Alligator mississippiensis: one gene and its partners. The protein of the gene in region 2 purifies or fractionates together with the protein of the main gene of each other region. This does not show direct contact. Links are inferred from orthologs where the notes say so. Each region holds a gene or a part of one and is shown on either strand. Other genes may lie near its edges. The genes, in order: SMAD1, RUNX2 and UBTF.

Evidence for each region.
Region 1: the proteins of RUNX2 (region 2) and SMAD1 purify together in Homo sapiens (affinity purification with western blotting; 3 studies listed by BioGRID). This does not show direct contact. The link is inferred for Alligator mississippiensis from reciprocal best matches to the Homo sapiens genes RUNX2 and SMAD1.
Region 3: the proteins of RUNX2 (region 2) and UBTF purify together in Homo sapiens (co-immunoprecipitation; 3 studies listed by BioGRID and IntAct, with this or other methods). This does not show direct contact. The link is inferred for Alligator mississippiensis from reciprocal best matches to the Homo sapiens genes RUNX2 and UBTF.

Annotation. Positions count from the first base shown.
Region 1 is NC_081825.1:101,104,957-101,112,611, forward strand, and holds the start of SMAD1 (mothers against decapentaplegic homolog 1), read right to left. Parts: upstream 3,084-7,655; 5' UTR 2,890-3,083; exon of another isoform or gene 2,881-2,889; intron 2,717-2,880; exon of another isoform or gene 2,291-2,716; intron 1,186-2,290; exon of another isoform or gene 1,076-1,185; intron 1-1,075. UniProt on the Homo sapiens protein: Transcriptional modulator that plays a role in various cellular processes, including embryonic development, cell differentiation, and tissue homeostasis.
Region 2 is NC_081824.1:12,513,940-12,521,329, reverse strand, and holds the start of RUNX2 (runt-related transcription factor 2), read right to left. Parts: upstream 3,102-7,390; 5' UTR 3,023-3,101; intron 2,814-3,022; 5' UTR 2,750-2,813; coding exon 2,692-2,749; intron 1-2,691. UniProt on the Homo sapiens protein: Transcription factor involved in osteoblastic differentiation and skeletal morphogenesis. Essential for the maturation of osteoblasts and both intramembranous and endochondral ossification.
Region 3 is NC_081827.1:159,407,777-159,415,595, forward strand, and holds the start of UBTF (nucleolar transcription factor 1), read left to right. Parts: upstream 1-4,819; 5' UTR 4,820-4,910; intron 4,911-5,113; exon of another isoform or gene 5,114-5,203; intron 5,204-5,633; exon of another isoform or gene 5,634-5,723; intron 5,724-6,201; exon of another isoform or gene 6,202-6,285; intron 6,286-7,179; 5' UTR 7,180-7,262; coding exon 7,263-7,320; intron 7,321-7,819. UniProt on the Homo sapiens protein: Recognizes the ribosomal RNA gene promoter and activates transcription mediated by RNA polymerase I (Pol I) through cooperative interactions with the transcription factor SL1/TIF-IB complex.

The DNA of each region.
Region 1 (7,655 bases), on a different chromosome or scaffold from region 2:
AGAAGAAAGATCACTAGTATGCAGGAGAAAAAGATTAATGATGTTTGTCTGCTTTCTTCACTTTGTTGTTAGACTATGTAGCCACTCTGAAGAGACTGATCATTTTTTCAGGTCAGAAAATGATTAATACAATTTAGTTAAATTCCCCCACAAAATACATGCTGTTTATACAATTCTATTATTTCAGCTAATAACCATTGCAGAAAGAGGTTAACAATCAAGCTGCACATATTCACACATTTCTCTTCTTCAGGCTGTAAGTGCCAGTTTCAAATCCTCTTCGTATCTTGCAAACTGTACATATGTTGCTTTCTTTATTTAACTACTGCACCACCCATATTTGAAGCATAATGGGCTATGCCACAGACGCTTGCTTTGCTGCCCTCATAATATGGTTTAATTATGATGACTGAACTAATAGGCTCACATCACAGACTTTTACAGGTTGACCCCATGTCATCCTGATGTCTCATTTTGCACCAGTACAGTGCTGTAAATCAATTTAAGATCTCCAGCACGTTGAAAAGGCTGGTAATGATGCTTTTTCTGCAGTCTCAGGGGACTCCACATTATACACAACTTACATTATTTATAAAGCTGAGATGATGCCTCCATTAGCCTTGTAAGGCTACACAAGTGAGAGCTTTTATATATGCACACAACTTGGACTTCACAGACCCGCCTACTCTATGTTAAATATAACTGTTTCCAGATTTTTTTTTAATTGAGTTCTACATTTGTTTTTAACATGCACCTATTGACTCAGATTTTAGTACAAAAATAATAAAAAACTAGTTAGTAAAAGAAGCAGCATCAGTTTTAGCAACCTTGATATCACCTCATTATGTTATTCACTATGCCCTGATTACATAATCAGAATTCAAATGCTAGTAATTTATCAGCTCTGTGTTAATATTTGACAGTTAATATTAACACAGAAACTAGAGAACCTCAACCTTCAGTTTATCCAGTCAGTTTTTTTAAATACGTGAGATCATCAGATCTTCAAGGGTACAATAAAAATGGCAAGTAGAGAGGGAGACGAGAGAGGGGGAAAATGTATTTGATTACATACCTAGTGGAAGAAACAGTGAAAACTAAAGCAAGGACAAATCCGTTTAGGGTAACCTGAGCTTCCTTGAACTAATCCTCTCTGGAGGCGGTAGAAGGCTCCTGGATCACCCAAGTCCTGAGAAGTCCCTCTCAAACCCCTAGTTACAGTGCAAGATGAATTGCAGGATTAGAGCCTGAGCACCATCACAAGAATTCCAAAATAGGTTAAGTTTCATTTAGCATAAAGAAAGCCTGAAATCAATTACTGTAGAGGAGTCAAGAAAAAACAAAACAAAACACCAAGTACATAATATTTGTTATGCCAGCTGTGAATGGAGAATCTTATACCAACTGCCCTACACAGATCTCCAGCTCAGATGGATTTATTTTTATGCTGTCAGTTTTAACTGGAAGCAAACCTCCCATAAATTTAACGCACCATAGATGAGACTAAAATCAATTGTAACACAGCAAGTTCCTTCACACGATTCTCATTCATTGGTACAGTGAGGTGTAGGCACTTGGCCACATGAAAAACTACCATAATCAGAGACACAGGTACAGAAGAGTCGTCTCCGCAGCTTGGTGAGCCTCTTTTGAGCCCTACACTATATGATATTCAGAAGTCCCACAATACAGCTAGGTTTTACACTCAAGGAAGGAGCAAATCAAGAAAGACAGAGCTGCCAGATTTTAAGCCACAACCTGCTTGAAGCACAGCCTCTCTTTAAAATGCAATTTTCTAAAGATGTCAGATCCCCTGAATTATCCTCCAATAAACTAAGCACATGCCTAGGAGTAAAGCTGAGCAGCGATCTTTTCTATTTGTTATTGCTCTAGTTGATAAAGGGGGGGGGAGCAAGGGGAAGAAAAAAGAGGGGGGGAAATTAAAAATTAAAGGGTTGGGGGAGCACTTGATTGTCACAAGTTGCACCCATTCTCAGGCACAGCATCTATTCTCCCCCGCCCCCCAAATAAACTTAAATAAAGTCTCTGCCTACATCTAAGCAAAAAAACACTCATGTATGGTGTTAAGCAAGCTACAAAAGCCAATCCACACATTGCCTGCAGATGATAAACCAGTATCAAAGGGCAGAATACAGCAGTCTTGACTGAACCCCAGCCTCCCATCGCCTCCCCTCATCTTGCATACACGTGCATGGCTAAATCCAGCAGGATTTGCCCTGGCAAGAGTGCATGACTGACCGCTTGCATGCCCAGAAACTTGAATAAGAACCTGAGGGTGAGGCAGGGAGAGAAGATGAAGGGCTGGCAAGTCTCATCATCTTGTGAAGCACCAGCACATCAAAGGCAGAGAAGAAAAAAAAAAATAAATAAAAGATCCCAAGGAGAGAAAACCCCTCTGCATCCAGCCCTGCTGAAGGAGAAGCATTTTGTGAGTGAACTCGCCTTGACCTCGGAGCACAGATTCCTTGTGGAGGGGGGAAGGAAAGAGATGAAGGAGGAAAGAGAAAAAGCAAGAGACAACCCCCCCCCTCCAGGCCAGACGGACTAAGCTGAGGGAAAAGAGGAGAGAAAGGTTTTTCTCCCCAAATCAAAACAAAAGGAGGGCAGTGGCGCTGCCCACAACTCCCGCAACTTCCCCACAATGGGGCCAGGGCAAGAGGCGAGGCGTCCAAAGGAGGAGGAGAGGCAGCTCCCGGGCCTCCTCCCAACAAAGGCAGCTCGGCGGAAACCCGGAGCGGTGGCGGCGGGCCCTTGCAGAGGTATCCCGGCATGGCCGGGGTTGAGCAGGAGGCGAAGCGGTCAGGTGAAGTGTAGCTGCGCTCCCTCCACCCACAGCCCGCCCAGCAGCAGCGCACGCACCGCGGTTACCGGGACGGGGCGCCCCGCGCTGCTGCCTCCTCCGCGCCCGGGTCGAGCTGCGCGCGGCGGCGTCACGGAGCCGGAGCCGCCCCGGGCCCTGCACAGCAGCCGCCGCCGGCTCAGGGCTCCGCTCCCAGCTCCCGCCCCGCCGCCGGGAGGCCGGGCCAGCTTCCCCCGCCGCCCGCACAGCCGCAGGGCTGCTCCAGCCGCCGCCGAGGAAAGGCGCGAGGGAGCCTCCCTGCCTGGGGCGGGGCCGGGGCGGGGCCGGGGGCGGGGGCTGCTCCCGGCCGCGGGACGCTGCTCCGGACGGACACACGTTACGGATGTTGCGCGGGGGATCGCGCCATAAACGCGGGCGGGCTGCACACGTCTTGCGAGGGGCGCTGGTGAACTACTTGGGAATCGCTCTGCATGGGTGGCTAGTCCGTATTGAGTGTGTGATTCAGTGCATTGCATTACTGGTTATCGGATAATGGTATGGGAATTACTTTGCATGTGTGGGCAGTCTACGTTTTTTGCAAGATTCACTGGTTAACTACGTGGAAACTGCTTTGCACGGTTGGCTAGTCCATATTGATTGTGTGATTCAGTATATAACCAGTTGATGTAGAGTGCAAAGTAATGACCACACCATTAACTGGCTACTGGTAGCCAGCAATACACCGAATCAAGTAATAAACATAGACTGGCCACCCACGCAAAACAATTCCCACAGTTCAAGAGTCACTGGTTGACTTATGTAGAGTGCCCACACATGCAAATTAATGACCACACCATTTGTTGTGAGATTCGCTGGTTAACTATGTGGCAATTGCTTTGCACGGGTGGCTAGTCTTATGTTTACTGCATGATGGAGTGAATTACTGGTAACCGGTTACCAGCAATTCATGGAATCACTCAGTAAATGGAGACAAGCAAGAGAGCCACAAGTGTAAAGTAATTCCCATGCAATTAACAGGTGAATTATGCAATAAGTGCAGACCAATTGTACCACCAAAGTAATTGCCATGCCATTCTCTGGGGAAGCCCACAATAAATGTAGCTGCAAGGTCGCAGCCAATAGCAAAGGCACCACAGCGCACTTAACCAGCAAATCACAGAAAGTGCTGACTGGCTACAGCTGCAAAGCAAATTACTACTAATTAACTGGTTACTGGTTACCAGCAATTCACTGGCATAATATAAATGTAGACTACCCACACATGCACAGTAATGACTACACAGTGAGTCCCACAATAGGCGTAGACTGGGACACCTGCACAGTAATGAACACAGTTAACCAATGAATCGTGCAATAAATGCAAGCCAGCCACACATGCAAAGTAACTATCACACCATTAAATGGTAACTGGTTACCAGTAATTCACTGAATCATGCAATAAATGTAGACCAGCCACACATACAAAGCAAGTGAGCCACAATTTGAAGGGCACTGCCACACAATTAACTCATGAATTGTGCAATAAATGTAGACCAATTGTACCAGTAATTACTGTTCAACTAACCAGCAAGTCCCACAAGAAATGTAGACTGGCACACATGCAAAGCAAGATGGGCCACAAGTGCAAACTAATTACCCACAATTAACTGGTGAATCCTGCAATAAATTTAAACCTGCCACATATGCAAAAGAATTATCCCACACACTGCTGGTTACTGTTAACTGGTTACCACACAATTAACTAAATCCTGAAATAAATGTAGACCAGCCACACATACAAAGCAAGAAGGCCTGAGGTACAAAATAATTACCATTCAATTAACTGGTGAATTGCACAATAAATTGAATTCCCCCTGCAAAAAATAACACATACACACACACACACAATTAACCAGTAAATCCTGCAGTAAATGAGCAGTGTGCCCTCGTGAAAAAAGTTAACAGCATACCGGCCTGCATTAGGAGTGTTGCCAGCAGATCAAGGGAACTGATTCTTCCCCTCTATTCATGCCTAAAGAAAGGTGTTTGTGCCTAAACGCCTGTAAAGAATAATTTTTCCAACTATGTAGTTGGTCTAATAAAAGATATCAGATTTACCCAAAGAACCTTGTGCCCCTTTTTTCACCACTACTGAGGCCACATCTTGAGTACTGTGTCCATTTTTGTGCCTCCCACTACAGAAAGGATGTAAGCCAATTAGGGAGTTTAGCAGAGACGACCTACACAATGGTGAGGGAGCTGGGGCACATGATGTATGAGGAGAGGGTGAGGGAACCAGGCTTATTTAGTCTGGAGAAGAGCAGATTTGAGGGGAGGGGGGAATTTGGTAGCAGCTTTCAATTACCTGTAGGAGTACTTACAAAGAAGATGGAGCTAAACTAAATTAAACTAAGCTAAACTGAACTGTTCTCAATGGTGGCAGATGACAGAACAAGGAGCAATGGTCTCAAGTTGCAGCAAGGGAAGTTTAGGTTAGATAGTAGGAAGAATTTTTTCGCTAGGAGGGTAGTAAAACACTGGAACAAGTTACCCAGAGAGGCAGTGGAAGCTCTATCCTTGAAGGTTTTTAAGACCTGGCTAGATAAAGCTTTGGCTGGGATAATCTAGTTGGAGATAGTCCTGCTTTGAGCAGGGGGTTGGACTAACCCTACTTTTCTATGATTCTATGAAATGTGAACTACTCACATGTAAATGAGTTGGGCCACAGGTGCAAAGTAATTACCACACAATTAACTGGTGAATCCTGCAATAAACGTAGACTAGTCACACATGCAAAGTAAGACCCTGACAAGTGCAAAGTATTAACTGGTGAATTGCACAATAAATTTAAACTGGCCACACCTGCAAAGTAACTATCACACATAAAATTGACTATGCAGCTGTAAAATTAGTCAACCAGCTATAAAGTTAGTTCTTGAAAGTGTGTAAACAACTCTATTGCTGGTTTCTATTCAGCTTTAATTTGAATGTGTGGCAGGGCCCTAGATGACCTCTACTCTTGGATTCCAGGAACAGAAAGCAGCTTGGCTCATTGCTTATTGTTGCCTTGCTACCCTTAGCCTGTAGCCAGTGTCTGCTTTAAACACACTATGTGATCTAAATTGCATCAACATATACCAACTATGTACCACATAGCTACCATGTGCAGGGTATTCAGTCTCTATGAAACCATGAAAAATAACTATGATTTTCAATGTTCACTCAACAGTTTGAATTGGTATTAATCAATGAATAGGTGAGAGCCAGAAATTACACATAAACCAGTATAAGTGATTGAAAACCAGTTCAAATCTGTAACACAACAGAAGTTCAGTGTACATAAATCACTTTCAGAATGGCTGAAATTGGTTTAAGATAAACCTGGATGGATGTAATATCAGACTTAACAGGTTTAGGTTCAATCAGTTTATTGAACTTATGTACTTCTGTCTCAGATCCCCCTCCAGATTCAAGTTTAGTGTCCCAGAATCCCAGGATGCTTTGCACCTCTCCCACAACCCCCATTCCCTCCCTGCCCCCCTGGTGGGCAGGCTAGCTTTGGCCCAAGCTGTCTGCTTCAGCCAAGGAAGGAGGTCTGTTATAGCACCCCCTCCACTTCTGGCTTTGGGCACTGCAAGGACGTGTGGCTGCATTTCCAGAATCAAAAGTGAATGTCTGTTCACTTGCTTATTGGTTTAATCTACACATCTTAGATTAAGCTATGAAGATTGAATTGATTCTGTCTCTGGCTTCTTGACCATCTGTACTTAGCCATACTAGTCTGGCTGTATATAGTACTTTTCAGCCCCCACCCCTCCCCCCATGTATGTAAGATGTTTTGGACTTCAACCCAACTAAGCATTCCTTAGGGAAATATTGCTGATTCAGGCAAATTAATCCTATTACTTCAGTGGTTCTCAACCTTTTAGGGCTCAAGGCACCCCTTCAAAAGTTCCAGATGTTAGTTTTCACTTGATTTTTTGACTACAGAAAACACTACAGCAATTCTTGTGTTGCAAAGAACTCACAAAGATCACAACAGGATAGAATGCTTTTAGGAAGGGAGTATTATTTGAAATCTGTGGGTTTATTTTGTGAAATGTGTTTGTACACCAGAGAGTGCTAACATTGTGTGGCACCGCGTGGTACACTTGAAAGGATCTCAAGGCATTCCAGGTTGCTGTGGCACCTTGGCTGAGAATCAATGAACTAAACCTATTAATGCAATCAAACTTGTGTGAACGGAATCTTGCCATACTATGGTTATGAATCAAAGGAGCTCCATCTAGGTTGCAAGATTATGCTCCAGAAGCTGGAGTTGGAGCTGATTTGAGGGTCTACATGCATAAGTAATTATAGGGATTTTTCTATTGACCATGTAAGTGCATCACAAATATTATTAAACTCATGCTCCAATTCTGAAATGAATGAATGGGGACCTAAATGTGGGGTAGAAACAAAGGGGTTGTTTATATGAAGATATATTCTGGCATAGCTATATGGGGATACTTATACCTCTAGAGTTATTCTATAAATTTCCCTGTGTATATAAGCATTAGGTGTGATATTAACTTAGCTTTAAAACACAAGGGAGATAGAGGCACAGAATAGCCAAGGCTTTATAAATTACAGGAATAAATTTTACTTACTCACATATATAAAAATATTCATAAATGCCTGTAAAATAATCTCCCTAAGTCACAAAAGGAGTCTGTGGCAGAGATAGGAGTAACAGTCAAGTTTTCTAGCCCTGGACCTCTGCCTCAAGAGCATGCAACTTCCTAACTAAACTTCAGCCATCTCTTTGGTAAGCAGGCATGCTATTAGTACACCAAATATACCACCACAGTGGCAG
Region 2 (7,390 bases):
CTACTGTGAGCTGAAAGGTCTTGTTTAATCCATGTCAACAAGAAGATTGCTAATAAACACACTTTTTATTAGTTACATACTATTTATTCCAAGCAGTTTAGTATTGATTCACTTTGAACAAAAGGCAAAATTATGAGAGCCTTAGCCTATTTGAATTGGTAGGCTTAAATTTAAAAAAACTGAAAGGAAGGCATATACAAATAGAACACACTCAAACTTGGATTCAGTTCAGAGCATACCTGTTGAGCAGAATTAGTCTAATGAGTACAGAACCTAGTGTTTAGATAATTCAGACTTAAAGGAATAAGACTGTATGCTCTTGAAGTTACAGAAGACCCCTCCCCGCATCAGGTGATATGAAAATTTGCAGAAATACCACAGGTTGAAACAGATTAGCAGGTACGTAATTCAGAGACGTGATTCATGCTGCAGTTCCAGTTGGAATAAATCGTGGAACAGAATTGGAAGAGATTAAATGCCAAACCTGACAGTACTTAAAATGATAATCTAATTGTGCATTCTCATAAGCAACTGCAAAAGTGCCTTAGTAGTTTGGAAACAATAAATGGATGAGTGATTTGGCTCTTTTTTTCTTTACAATAAAGCGTAAACATGAAAATAGGTATTTTCACAACTTTCAGGTATACTGATGACGTTGATATGAGAGAAATTTTGTTTTAGACATTCATTGTAGTTTGTTTCTAAGGATATATTTACATACCCTTCTTTTACACAGAATTCGGAAGAACTCATTGTCCCGGTTATAGCACTTTGCAGTAGGTTAAAGAATGACCAAAAGTAGACTAATTCAGCAGTCGGCACTGCATGTTATGATAATTTTAGCCAACTTACTTTCTTCTAATCTCTTTTGGAAGTAAAAGCAAAAGAAAGTCCCTATACATGTAAACTGTATTTCCTGTTGTAAACACTGGGATAATGTGGTCTGGCTACACTTCTGCTGTGCTTCATTAAGAGAGCAGTTTTAGTAGAAATGCTGCCTACAATTTAAAGACTATTTTTTGTATCCGCACTTCACTCCAGTTTTTCTGTGAGGTATAACTATTAGAGCAATTGTAGACAGTACTGAGATGTAGCATTTCCAGTGCCTATGTGCATTTTAAACGCAACAGTTCTCTGTTCCTTTAAAGCTTTTTCTTTATGTCTAATTGTGCTCATAGACTTAAACTACATTCATGTGCTTAGATAGGAGCCAGTTGCAATGCGTGAAGTAGGAGGGGTAAAAGGAACTCCAACCATCAGCTAGTTGCAATACAAGCTTAATCTATACTGAAAGCATATGTAGCATCTTTTTGACTAGGAAAAAAAGGGAGGAATAAAGGAAATAGGTTTAACTACAGCCCCATTATAGCTTCATCATGATGGACAGCATTAAGAAAATTTTGTAAGTTTTGAAAATGTTTTACTGTTCTTTCAGTTTGTTTTCTTCCTCTGTCTTAAATGACTCAGTGAGAAATCTTTCATATGTGTCTGACCACTGATCAAATGTGATCAGGGGTCAGCATTTTGCTATTGCCCTTTTAAACGAAAGTTTGAAAGCATTTAAGATTTTATACAAATCACTCAAAAGTTAGTCTCGTTCAGTTTTATATAGGGGTTCTCTATCTCAAAAGACATTGATGTATATTGAATCCAACAGCAGATCTGAGAAGAATAAAAGGTTTGGAGCTAAATGATGTTAGAAGTACAATGTGTGTACTCTCAGTAGGGTCATGCATGTAAATCTACATGGTACATGCATATGTGGAATGCTAATTCATAATTGCATGATTTTATGAAGGTGTTTTAAGACATCTGTGTTTACAGATCTGAATATTTAATCCAATATTTGGCAACATACCATTATATAAAGTAGCTTTAAAAATGCTAATTTCATCCACTTTTTTGAAACTTCAGGTTTTTTGGTGGCTTTTTTTTTAATGCAGAAACTGCTCTTTGCTTAGTCTTGACTTAAGTATGGTTAGAAAAACTGTATCGGAGCATTGATGCATTGTAAACCATGCCTTGCTGTGAAAAAGTGGAAACATTAACAGATTGTTGGTCTAACAGATTCCTGTTAGCATATTACTAGATGAAGTTTAATTTGAGACATCTAGGACAATTGCTAGGGCAGTGATGTGCAGGAAAGGATTTCAGATGCTATATTTTATCTAGGCAGACAAGGTTCTTTGGTTGAATCTGATATTTTACTAACTTTTTTTCAGATACAGAGAACTGGCTGTTAAATCATGTAACTTACTTCTGTTTCAGTAATTTGATTACCCAGTCATGTTATAACTGTATAGAAATGTCCCATTTTATTCCTAGTTTCTTCACCTTGTATTGTAAGATGTGGTTGATTCTATTAATTTAATACTTTAGCTTTTTACCTAGTTCAAAGCAGCATCGTACGTCTCCAAGTACATGTCGCAGTACACATGGAGTCAGATAGGTGACAGATGAGCACACCTGCTGTCAAATGCCAAGGTATAAGCTGGTGATTTCATGTTGCCTAGCTTTTCAGTTAACAGTGTCGTTCTTAATATGCACGTATTACTTACAGTAACGTTTTTTTTTCACCTGACTAAATCTCCCATCTTCAAACCATAATATATCATTCAACAAGTTTGTTTTTCTGTTGTGACAATGCCCAGTGCTTACTCAGAAAATTTAAAAACGGATTGTGGTACTTACCCCAAAAGAAGTTTTGCTGACATGGTGTCACTGAGCTGAACAGACTGTTTGATGCCATAGTCCCCCTCTCTTTTCACACAGAACTTGTACCTTCTGATGTAAGTGCTGCTTGGAGCCTTAAACTGCAAACACAAACCATAGCCAAACCTTCCTTTAGTTTTACAGAGTGCTTGGAGTGCATAGACTCCTATATTTGTTTTTTTCTGTCAAAAAATTGTGAAGCGCTGGTAACATGTGAAAAGCAAGGAAACAAAACAAAAAAAAAAAGAGAATGAGCAAATATTTGAAGGACCTACTATTACTGCATAGACTGTGGTTAGACAGCACTTACTGACTCTGTTGGTCTCAGTGGCTGGTAGTGACCTGCGGAGATTAACCATTTAAAAACCAGAGGCTTCTTGCTGTCCTCCTGGAGAAAGTTTGCACCGCACTTGTGGTTCTGTGGTTGTTTGTGAGGCGAATGAAGCATTCACACAATCCAAAAAAGCAAAAGCTTTAAAACTCCTTTTTTTGCAAGCACTGTTACTGGAGAGACAGAATCATGTGGTTTGTGACATCAGAGTACTCAAAGTAAAGTGGGACTGCCTACCACTGTGGCTTTTTCTTTCTTTCTATTTTTTTTTTTTTTATTTTGACAAAAGGCCCGTGGTAAGGCCCTTCCTGGCATCCAGAAGGATATAGCTTTTTAATTTTTGTGACTCATGAGGATTTGGAGGGAGTACAAAATGTGAAAGAGCCCAAACTCCTGTACAGTTAAAGCATATGGACAGCAGAACTTTATTTGTACTCTCACTTCAGGTTTTCCCCCCTCTTTTTTTTTTTTTCTTCCCCCCCCCCCCCGTCCTGTCTCTAGCTTATTATTGTGTCTGTGGCAAAGTGAGCAAAATTGGCGCAAGTGGCTGTGTGAAATTCTGAACAACAGTGATGATTTACAATAATTTACATCTTTGGATTGTATCACGATCTTGGGTCTGCTTCATATTTGCTGGGTGGCTGGATTCCTTCTGTTTTACTTTTTCTTCTTGTCTTCTTATACTTGTGAATCTGTAACTCATTGTAAGAAATTTTACCTTTCGTAAGGTCTAGTAGCAGCTTGTTGGGGCTGTTTTGTACTGTAATTGGCTGTCATAGAAGTGTTAGTCTCGGGATTCCTTTACAAATTTTAAATCATGTCTGTCTTGCTTACATGTATTCAAGACTAGCTGGCAGTTTTATATAATGACATTTAAGTGTAATTATATACCTTTTGTATATTGTACAGAGTGTCATTTGGATGCTGTAAATTATTTGGGTACTGCTTTATACATTGTGCTTTTAGAATAAAAACTGTTGTAGGGATTTAATATGGACGCTTAACATAATGAATTGTATGGATTGTGGGATTTTGATTGCACTTACATTAATTGTTTCTTATAATTTTAATGTTACAGAGGAACAGCATAGACTTTAGACTTTTTGGGACACTGTAAATAACTTTATTCAGCAGTTACTGTTAACATCTATTTTAAAGATGAAGCATAAATTTGATGCATATGTTGGATTTGAACACTTATATCAGGTTTGTGTGTGCATTCACAATATTATCACATATTTAACTTTGACTTTGTGTAGCATAAACTTTTTACTATACCAGTACAGAATGGGTTAACAGCAGCAGTATTTTTTTGTGTTTATAATAGAGGCTTTGAAATAAATTGCAAAATGCTGTGCATAGTAAGGAATAATATGCACAGACAGTGTGTATTAGTAGTCTTGATTTGCTCACTCAGATTCAGAACAAAATTGGAAACATCTTTGGGAAACTGTCTTATTTTTGCCCCTTTGGACATTTATATGTAGAACTCATTTTCTTGTTAGCATGATTGTATACCTTGGGCACTGCATTTTATAGTTTCATCAGAGTGTAGGATTTTTGGTATATGCGGGGAAGGGATAGAAGCATGGCAGTAAAAGAAAGTTGCTAAGGATTTTCAGCCTGTATTTGTATCACTTCTGATGTCTATATCCCTGGCAACTAACCTCCCTCTTGCTTCCCCATTCTTCCTACCCCTACTTCCCGAATAAGAAAATGACCAGAAGTGGTGTGAAACTAATAAATGGAAAAGTGGGTGGAGACCGGGTTTGCCTTTTGTTCCTTTTTTTTTCCCCTTTTGGTGGATGGAGGTGAGGAAATGGGAAAGGGGAATTTTCAATTAAAATCACAACTTGTGAAAGTTTTCTTTTTTGGAGGGCTGATATGTATCAGAAAAACATAAAATAATTTTGTTTATCAACGTCTCTGTCATAATGCCTATTACAATGTATACTGTGCTTGTATTTTGGAACATTTTCAGTTCTTAAAAGTTGCCACATTTCCAGAATTCTTCTTAAAATTAGGAGTTATACAGTGAACTGTCATGTAAAAAAGTAAAAACCATTATTTAACTTGTCCCTTTTGAAGATGCATTTCTTGTACCTCTAAATGTTATATTATGGTACGACCATCACTGGAAACAAAAAAGGTAAGGTGGTAAAAATGATTGACTTTACTGGCAATTGTATCATAAAAACAAAGTATATTTGTTTAGGTTAGAAGTTTAATTAACTTTTAATGTAATAAAAGCATTTAGAGGGCATTTCCCTATAATTTGTTGAATTTCAGTTCACAGAATTTGTACAAAGTGCAGACTTCTGCAAATTCAGTAACACATTGAAAATGTTTATCAGTTTGCATATTATGGTAATGAAAATTAATTTTCTTATAACTAAAATGTTGCCGGCAGACTAATTTTTTTTCATTCATTGAAAACCATCCTTTATAATTTTAAAACCGAAGAAGTTTATTACTAGTCAGTTCTTCAGTGTCTGAAAAGAAACTTGCCACAGAGGTGTTGTATCTTTCTTTTTTAACTTCTGTAAATTGAAATAATGTCTTTAATTCTTCAAGATAGCTGGGGCTTTTTGTTTGTTTGTCTGTTTCATTCTTTCACTGATATATTTGTAAGGTTATTTACCAATGTTCCCTTTTAATATGTTATCTGCGAGGTATAATTTTTTGAGTAGCACCATGGAGCTTTTTCAACTTAGATTTTAAGATTTAAATCACTAAAATAAATTTTCTATTTAGCATGGTAAAGTTTACCAAACAATATAAAAACTTGTTCCAGTGTCTGGTTGGAGTGTAGTTCTTAAACATGTTTTCTCTATTAATTTGGAATTTAAATATTTCTTGGCATTGGAAATGTTTCCTTTTTAGTGGGTATAGTGTGGTGGGGGGAGGAGGTTTCAAGCAAAATTGTGTTTCAACTCAATACCTGGCAACCCCTTTCTTCAAAAATAGTTTGCACTTTTAGTGCAATGAAGAAGAAATCTGAATTTTGAAAAGCTGTTGTGTAAACAAGTCTCTTGATTGCAGTCATACATTTGACAGTCTTTTGTTTAAATGGCAGAACTAAAAAAAAAAAAAAATCAAAGTTAACTTAAAAAAAATCCACAGGGGATACTTTAAGTCACTGATACAATTACACTTACAAAAGGAGTATCAAGTTAAAGAATTTGCTTTGTAAATTATGGACTAGTTCTTTGATGACAAATTAAATCTCATTTTGAAATTAAAATCAATTGTAATACAAACCTAATGCCATCGTATCCTTTATCTTTTTGGAAATTTGTTTTGAAAACCTTTAAAGATTTGCTTTATCTTATTTCCAAACATTTTGCTTTTTGTCGCTCATACTTTTTATACAGCAAATAAACAGTACGATTCACTGGGGAAAGTTTATTTGTACTTAAATTTGTTTTGATGCTATGGTTAGAGGGGTTTAAAAATTCTACTTACTCTGGTAGGATGATGGTCTTGCAACTAAGTGTAATTTATTCAACGAGTAGATGATAGTTTAATAGTTTTCCACACAAAGTGACATAGATAATACCCTTTATTACTACTTCAGATGCTTCAACTCGACAGATTTTATTCCTTAGATCCGTATCTATTGGTGCTACATTTTTCTGTATCTGAACCAACCCGTGTGCTTGGTTTCAGCATCTCACAATCAGAAGCCATTCTCACCCTCCATTATAGTTTTCTTAGTGGTGTTGGAATTTACTTTTTGGTAGTTCTTACTAAATTGATGTAGACTTATTCTGTCCTAATGTGTATAATTGTAGTATTTTCATATTTTGTGGATGGGCTGTGTAGACTGGGATTTTTCACTTCCAGCATCTTTATAGTTGCTTAATACAGCCTGAATGTTAATATAAAAGATTTTTCCTTCTCTTTAATGGAATGTGAAAGTACCTATTAATAAAATAACATCCAGTAAAAATACTCTTACAAGTTAGGTTTTTTTTCCTAATGCCACTTTTTAAAAATACTGACTCTTGTCAGAGGTTTTTTTGGGCATCTGCAGGATAAATGAGGGATATTCAAATGAATGACAAATGTATCCACTTTGATGCTCCTCTTTGCGTCTTATTCTCCCTTGACTTCCATGCACTAATTTAACAAGAAAGATATGAAGCTGCTTGATTGATTTAGAAATCACAGATTGTGGGGGAAAAAAGTAGCTTTTTCTTCCCAGGTTAAGCAAATATTTGGTTGTCTGCCCCCTTTTCATTGAACTCATACTGTTAAAGATCAGTTTAAATCTGAACAGAAAACCACTATGACAGATTAAGATGACAGTAAGCCTTTGTTAATCAGTGATACATTTATTTAGTA
Region 3 (7,819 bases), on a different chromosome or scaffold from region 2:
GACAATACCAATCTGATACCCACTGCCATCATCTCTGTCAATGTCCAACACAGTGGAAAGCTGAAATGCCAATTACTGAGGTTTGCTATTAAAGTTTTGAAGCTGGCCTACATATCCTATACAAGGAGGTGGTATTCCTGCCAACAGCGACTGACAGCAAGCGATGCTGTGAATTGTTTTACACCCCAGTCCTGTAAACACGTATGTATGTACCTATGAGTAAGTTTCTCCACCTGACTAGCTTCAGCAAACATAGGGGTTCTGCTCACAGTTATTGATGTGCATAAGTGTTTGCAGGCTCACAGCCTTGGACACCTGAGTTTTGTTTCTGATGCTGTAACTCCGTTCAAATGGATAGACCCTTGCATCCTCAACAAGCTCCTAGAAGAAGCAGCTGAACTCCGCTTCAGTGCAGGACACCAGCTGCACAAATCAGGTCACAGCAGCAGGGCTTTTGATTACAACTTTGGGGGAATAATACAGCCTTTGGGCAACTTGATTTGTGTACAAATGGATGTTTCATAACTGGTAGCGTAGGCCAGTCTGGACTGATCAGCTGAGAATCATATGTTGGGTACAAAATGTATTGCTGTTAGTATTTATATTATGAGAGAACTGGAGACCCAAGCTTAGCATAGGTAGCTATTGGGCTATGTACCACATAAATGCCCCCAAAAGCTCATGTTCCCAATAGAGAAAAGCCCAAGCAAGAATGGGGCACAGGGCTTGGAAGGAGGAAATGGAACAGAAGTGACTTGCTCAGGTCTGCACAGGAGGGAAAGTGGCAATCAGAAGAAGGACATGGACACTGCACTGCAACTAGAGTCAGGACACCCATTAGGACATGTTGCTTTCATTCACCAAAACCTTTTAAGAAGAGTGGAAACATTTCACAGACTGCAGTTATGCCAATATCCATGCTATTCCAGTGGCCAGAAACATCAAATCTACTCAAAACAAAGGCACGAGTACAAAAGGTAGAGTGTCTTGCACTTTGCCATGTGTCAGCTTTTCTGAACCTTTTTTTTCCTCAAAGGTTACACACAAGAAAAGAGATTTGTATCTGAAGCTGTCGACAATTCTTTCAAGGCAGGGACCAACTTTGTGTTGCTTGTACAGCAGTGAGTACACTGGGGCCTGGAACTGCTAGGTATTATTGTAGTAGTATACAAAACATTTTATATATTAATGAATTTTGTAAATAGTGAATATTTAATAGCAGTAATTGATAAGTTTTACTACTACTATTAGAATTATTAATATCTGCCCATCAGTGTAGATTCATCCCTTGGTCTTCCCCATAACGACAGCCCTGACACTCATAAAGAGCTTCACATTCTCAAAGCAGTGCATGAATGTTAATTAATTTATATGAGGAGGGAAGAGTTTGTATTCCCCTGAAGGAAGAAACATTGTCTCAGTAATCAGGTACCAAGTACTGGTAATTTACTCCTCTCTATAGGTGACTGTAATGTAAGGATGGGGACATGGGCAGTCTTGTGGAGGGTGGGGTCAGCCAAGTACCTGAGCCAGTAGAATCCAGATCCACAGTCTAGGCCAAGGGAGTCAAAAGCAGATAATCAAAGTCACATTTCTAATCCCAAATTATATCCATGTTCATAGTCCAAGTCAGGCCAAAGGTCAGGAACTGGAGAGTCCAAACAGAGGACAGGATAGGTTAATATGAATGCTCCAAGCTAGAGCAAGGCTGAGTTATTACAGTGTGGAACATACTGAGTAGGCTAAGGCCTGGGTTTTTATACTCAGCCTAGCTGGCTCTGCAACCAGTCAGCTTGTCGCTTGCACCTGATGCTGCTCTGCAGCTAGGTGAGACTATTTATACAGCAATCTGCCCTCTAACTGTAACCAGGAAGAGGATAATGACACTAAGGAGTTTCTAGGGTGATGTCACTTAAGAACTAGGTCTTAGCCCCACTCTCACCCAGACTCTGGCACCAGTGGATTTATACACGATGTGTAAATAAAAAAAAAAGGCTTTGGTCCTCATCTGTTCATGAGCTCTGTACTGGTAGATCCTTAATACCAGCATGAAGCTCAATGGAGGTGGGGGGATTTGGGTATGGCTGCTCTAATTCTAGCCCTGGTGGTCCCTGATGGAATTGTTACACATTATACATGGGCTACACAGCTCTATTCACCCCATTTCATACCTGACAGCACAATGGTTGAAATGAGTGCAAAAATGCAAATTAAATGCAAAGAGCTTTATAAGTAGTGGGGGCTATAATGGCATATTCATGCACCACCTTTACTTGTGGCCCTCCATCACAAAACCTCTATAAAGTAAGCACCGCTGAAAGGAAGCTGCATCTGGAGTGGAGTATAATAGCCAAACTGATCACAATAGCCAAACACTGTTATGCAGCAGCAGCAACAGGAGGAAAATTTTGACCGAGGATATTGTGGGGAATCCCAGAGCTTTACTGAAATGTCTCAGCAATTGGCTGGCATTCCTTTTGCTAGCAAAAATTGTACTCTCACATTTTCAGGCCTGCCATGCTCTGATGCAAATCTGGTAGTTAGAGATGCATTTTTCTAGAAGTGGGCTAGACTTTTCCATCAGAACATTTTTTGTTGCTATAAAATGTTAATTTGTTGAAAGCTGTTTGCAAAAAAAAAAAAAAAAGAGTCCCTTTTTCTGAACTAAGAATAAAAAACCCACACCAAAAAATAACAAACCAAACCAAATCCATGTAGTAAATATGTCTACATTGTCAAAATGAGATATTTTTCCAAGCAAAACAGTTAATCTTTTTTCTGGTTTGAAATGATGTTAATGTAGCTATTTTAATTAATATAGATTTTTTTAAAAAGATTTAAAGATGAAAATACTGAAACTTATGAACTGACACAATTTGAGTTATTTTCCAGATTAATCATTTAAAAATATCTTCCAAAATTTGACTTTCCATCACACATTGGGACAAGAAAATACTTTGAAATCTCTTGTGGGATAGGCAAACCACTTCTCACCAACCTCTAATATCTATTAAAATGTGCACTTGCAACCTTTAATTATAGGCCTTAAAAAATACAGGCCCATTTGCCTGTACGTGAATTGCTTGGATTAAAAAAAAAAATGATCTGGCCTTTTCTATGCAAACTGCACAAACCTTCAATTTGTAAGGCTTAATCCAAGAGGATTGCTATTTTTTTTCCACCAAAACAGAGTAGCTCCTGGGTGAGCCACCATTTAGCACACCTCAACAGCACAACATGAGAGCAGGAAATGAAACATTCAGGAATCCTATGACAAGTATATAATTCCAAGGGGTTGTGGGGGGAGGGGGGGGTCTCTCTAAAAGCATGGTTTCCTAACATCCTGGGTAGGATTGATTCTAAAATAGGTTCTCCCTAGTCACTAGCTCTTTAAATTAATCATCATAAATGGACAAAACAGTAGTACATTTAGCAGGACCATCTGATACACCGTTCCATTTTCCATATATAATGTGTGTGTACTTATGTAAATAAAATATATATAAAACCGTGTGTGCATAAATCTGTGTGCATATACATATGTGTGTGTACACGCACACACTATCCTCTCTATATAAAGATCCCTCGTGGCTGATGCATATCCAATGCAACAGGACACAACAGCAATTGCAGGAGAGAAGAATCCTTGCACTGGTAAAGAAACGGAAGCCATGCACCCCCTCCTCTCAATCTGCGGATTTTAGATTAGGTCGTCGTTCCGTCCTCCCCCCCCCCCCCAACAGCTCATAACACCTAATTGCATTTTTTTTGTCTGTAGGAGCGGTTTGCTTATTGGGATTGCCATTAATTTGACAGGCAGAGCTCAGGCAGGGGATTGGCTAGCAGCAGATGACGCCCATAACAACAAAGGTGGAGTTGGAGAAATTACATTAAAAAAATTAAGAGAGAGAGAGAGAGAAGGAGAGAGGAAAAAAAGGAGAGGAAAACTCTCCCCTTCCCCGCCCCTCTGGCTGTGAAATGTACCAGTGTGTCAATTTCACGGTCTCGTTAAGAAAGCCCAGTGTGCCACGCAGCCCGGAGACGAGTGTGATCGCACTTCAGTCTGTACGTGCATTTCCTGGTGCAAGAGACACACAACAAAACTCCCCCTTATTTTTTTTTTGTCTTCTTCCCTGTGCGCTTGTTTACAAGGCAGCCACTTGCAGTGTAAGTTCTGCTTCTCCCCGTGCGCTGGTGCCAGAGCTTGGCCCGGGCCTCGGAACTTCGCAGGGAAAACCCGAATGCTCTCTTCTTTCCGTGCTAGGTGGGACTTGGAAAAAAACCCAAACCTTTTTATCTTTTTATGCTTTTTTTCCGGCCATGCATTTGAAATTAAAGCGAAGGGGACTGTTGGTGGCTCATGTGCCTGCTGCCAACGCCAGAAGAGGACTGTTGGAAGTGTCAGAAGAGGATTGTTGCTAATGTAAGATTTTTTTTTCCTCCTGTCTCTCTCTCTCTCTCTGCCTCGCTCTCTCTCTCTCCCTTTTCCCTCCTCCTTTCTTTTGGCTGGTGTTGCAAAAGCAAAGAGCAATAAAAAACACACACACACACACGCACATAGAGAGAGGCAGAGACACAGAGAGCCCCGTTAAGAGCCAGAAGAGAGAGTTTAAAAGAAGAGAGGAGAAGCCTGTCCCTAACAATCCCGCTTAGGGAGCAGATGGAAAAGTGGAGACTTGTGAAGGGCTGTGAGGTTGGCTAAGGATCCAGGAGCGAAAAGAGCCCGGCTGATTGGAAGAAAAAAGCAGAGAGATGGAGGCGGGGGAAGTGCAATCTCTCTGCGGGGACTGGAGCGAGTCCACGCCCGGGGCCAGCGCTGCAGAGCTGGCCAGCATTCAACCAGCGCTCCCCAGCTAAAGCACCCAAAAAGGCAGCCCCCGAGCCCCTGCTCCAGCCCGGGTGGTTTGCAGGTACGTGCCGTGGAGAAGCCAAGCCCCCTCCGACCTCCAGCAGCCAACGCGCCCGATGCAGCCCCCCGTTGCAAGGGAGGGTGGGTGGGAGAGAAGGATCAGGGGGAGGGGGGAGAAGGCACGATCCGAAGCGACGCTTGCTGCACCGGGCTGCTTTGCTGCAGCAGGAGCGCATGTGGAGCTCGCCATTACCCGCCGCTCTGGTTCGCCATCTGGGGCTGGAGGAGGCGCTTTGTTTCCTCCCCGGCGGGCTCCGGCGGCTGCTGCTCTCTCCAGCTCGCAGCCGCTGCTCGGTAAGGCGGGGACCGGGGCCGGCTGCAAGCGGGGGGACCGGGGCTGCGGCCGCGCGGGGGATCGAGCCGGATCCCCGCGCGCTGCGCGGCCCGGCGGGGAGGATCGGATCTGATCGGATCAGGTCGGATCGCCGTGGAGGTGGCGGCGATCGCGGCCGGACCCTGCGGCGGGAAATGGAGCGGGAGCAGGGGCCGGGCGGGGGAGCGGGAGCCGCGGCGGCAGCAGCAGCAGCAGGCGCCCAGCGCCGCAGCCCGGCGGTGCCTCCGCCTGCGGGGGGCCCGGCGCCGCACGGGGGCTCGGCGAGGGGGGAGAGCGCGAGGGCGAGGCGGCTGCTCGGCCTCCGCGCTGCCCCCTCCCTCCCTCCGCCCGCCTTCCCCGGCGGCTGCAGCTGGCTGTCGGGGGCAGGCTTCCAGCGCTGGGCGGTCGGTTGTTTTTCCCGAGCCTGCTAGTTCCGCGCCGGAGCTGCTGAGGTCGCCATCCCCGCCCGCCCGCCCGGCTCCTCGCCGCCGCCATCCGGAGGTGCGTGCCCGGGCGCGTCCCTGCCCTGCCCTGGCTGCGGCGCTGGGGTGGGGGGGGGCCGCGGCGCCGCTCCCCGGGGCCGGCGCGGGGAGGACGCGCTGCCCGGCCCCGAGCGGGGCCGCGGCGGCTCATAGCCCGGGCGGGGCCGCGGCGGGGCTCCGGCGCCTCGGCCGCGCCAGCCATTGTTCGCCCGCGCGGCGCGGCGCGAGTCCCGGCCCCAGCCCGGAGCCGCGGCGGCCCCATTGTCCCCGGCCGGGCCGCGGGAGGGCGCGGGGGAGGCGGCCCCGCGCCGCTGTCTCCGGCGGGCACCGAGCCGCGCGGCTGAGGCGGCGCCTGTCCCCGCTGGCGGCCGGGGGAGGGAGCGGGCGAGGCGGGAGCGGGGAGCCAGCAGGGGCGGGCGGGAGGAGAGAGAGAGAGAGAGAGAGAGAGAGGGAGGGCGGGAGGGAAGGGGCCGCCCGCAGCCGGCGCCGAGGCGGCGGAGTCAGCTCAGCTCGGCGCAGCGCAGCCCTGCCCTGCCCTGCTGAGCCGCGCCCGCCCGCCCGCAGCTGCCGCGCGCCCTGCGGTGAGAGCCGGGGCCGGGCGGAGCGGGGGCCGCAGCTCCCCGGGGGCGGGCGCGGAGCGGAGCGGGGGGCGCTGCCGGAGCTGCGGCGGAGGCCGGGCGCGGCGCGGCGCGGAGAGGAGGCCGCCTCGTCGGCCCGCAGGGGGTGGGGGAGGGCGGCGCAGCTGCCGGAGCCGTCGGTCCCAGCCGGGTGCTGCTGCCTGGAAGAGGAGGAGGAGACTGGCGCCGGCCGCAACTGCATTTGGGCAGGGGCTGCGCAGGGCATGTGGGGATCCGGCCCGCCCGCGGCCCTGCCCCCTCCCCCGGCCCGCGGGGATCCCTCCTCCCGCCCCCCCGCCGTGCCGCCCCCCCGCGCCGCGGTCCCTCCCCCGCCGCGCGGGACCCCCCCGCGGGCCCGCCCCCCCGCCCGGGATCCCGCCCCCCCGCGCGCGCCTCCCTTGGCTCCCCCCTGCCGGCCCGGCCCGGCCCCGCAACGGCGCTGCAGGCCCTACCTGCTGCTGCATGGGGGCGCCCCGCCGCCCCCCACCCCGCCGGCCTGGCCCCGGGGCAGGGGCGGGACCCCGCGGGCGCTCAGGTGTGCCCGGCCGAGACTGGGGGCGGGGGAGGAGCCTGGGGGGGGTGCCTCCCAGGAGGTGGCTTTTCCTACCTCCTGGCGTGGCTGGGCTCTTCCACTGCTCTCCCTCGGGGGCTACCGCCTCGACCCGGCCCCCGGGAGCCACCCTCCACTCACTCACCAGCAGGTGAAGGGGTGCTGTGCGCTCCAGCTCTTCCCTTTTGACTGGGAAAGGCTTCCTCTTGGAGTTGGGCAAGGGGTTTCAGTTCCCTTGACTATGCCTCTTCCAAGCAGAGGGGCTTTTTGCAAGCCATTTATAGCTCGGGTTTCCCTTTGCCTTTTAGAGTGAAGCTTACTTGATTTAAGGTAGACTCGGAAGGAGCCAGGAGGCCCAGAAGGGACTGCCCTTGGGTCAGACAGGTGGAGAATGAACGGAGAAGCGGAGTGCCCTACGGACTTGGAAATGACAGCTCCCAAAAATCAAGGTGAGAGTAGCCCCGCTGCCCAAGGATGCCTGGCTCTCCCCCAGCTATGCAAGGGACCCGGGTGCTGAGATCCCTTTACACCTCCCTTCCAGCTGTCTCTGGAAGACTCGCCCAGTTTTGTGCCCGTGAGCAGTTCCAGTTGGACGCTCCCGTGTGTGAAATCAAGCACTTGCATAACCGCCTGGGGGAAGGGGCTGCGAGAGCAGCGTCACCCATTCCTAGCATGCTTAGAAATTAGCAGGACACCTTCAGTTTGGGTTTAAGAGCCTGCCCAGTACGTTGACCAGATCCTGTTACGGATTTGGTCTTTACACCATTCTTTCTCCTAGCCCTTTCACGGGAATGCTGGAAAACATTGTTTCATGCTTCATATTGGCCCCTGAAAGCAAGTGATAAACCTAATAATATGCCACCCCACACTCGTTTGGTCGAGCTGCAGACATGGCAACAAGCCTGGCTGAATCAAACGGCCAGTGAGATGCTTTTAAAAAAAAAAAAG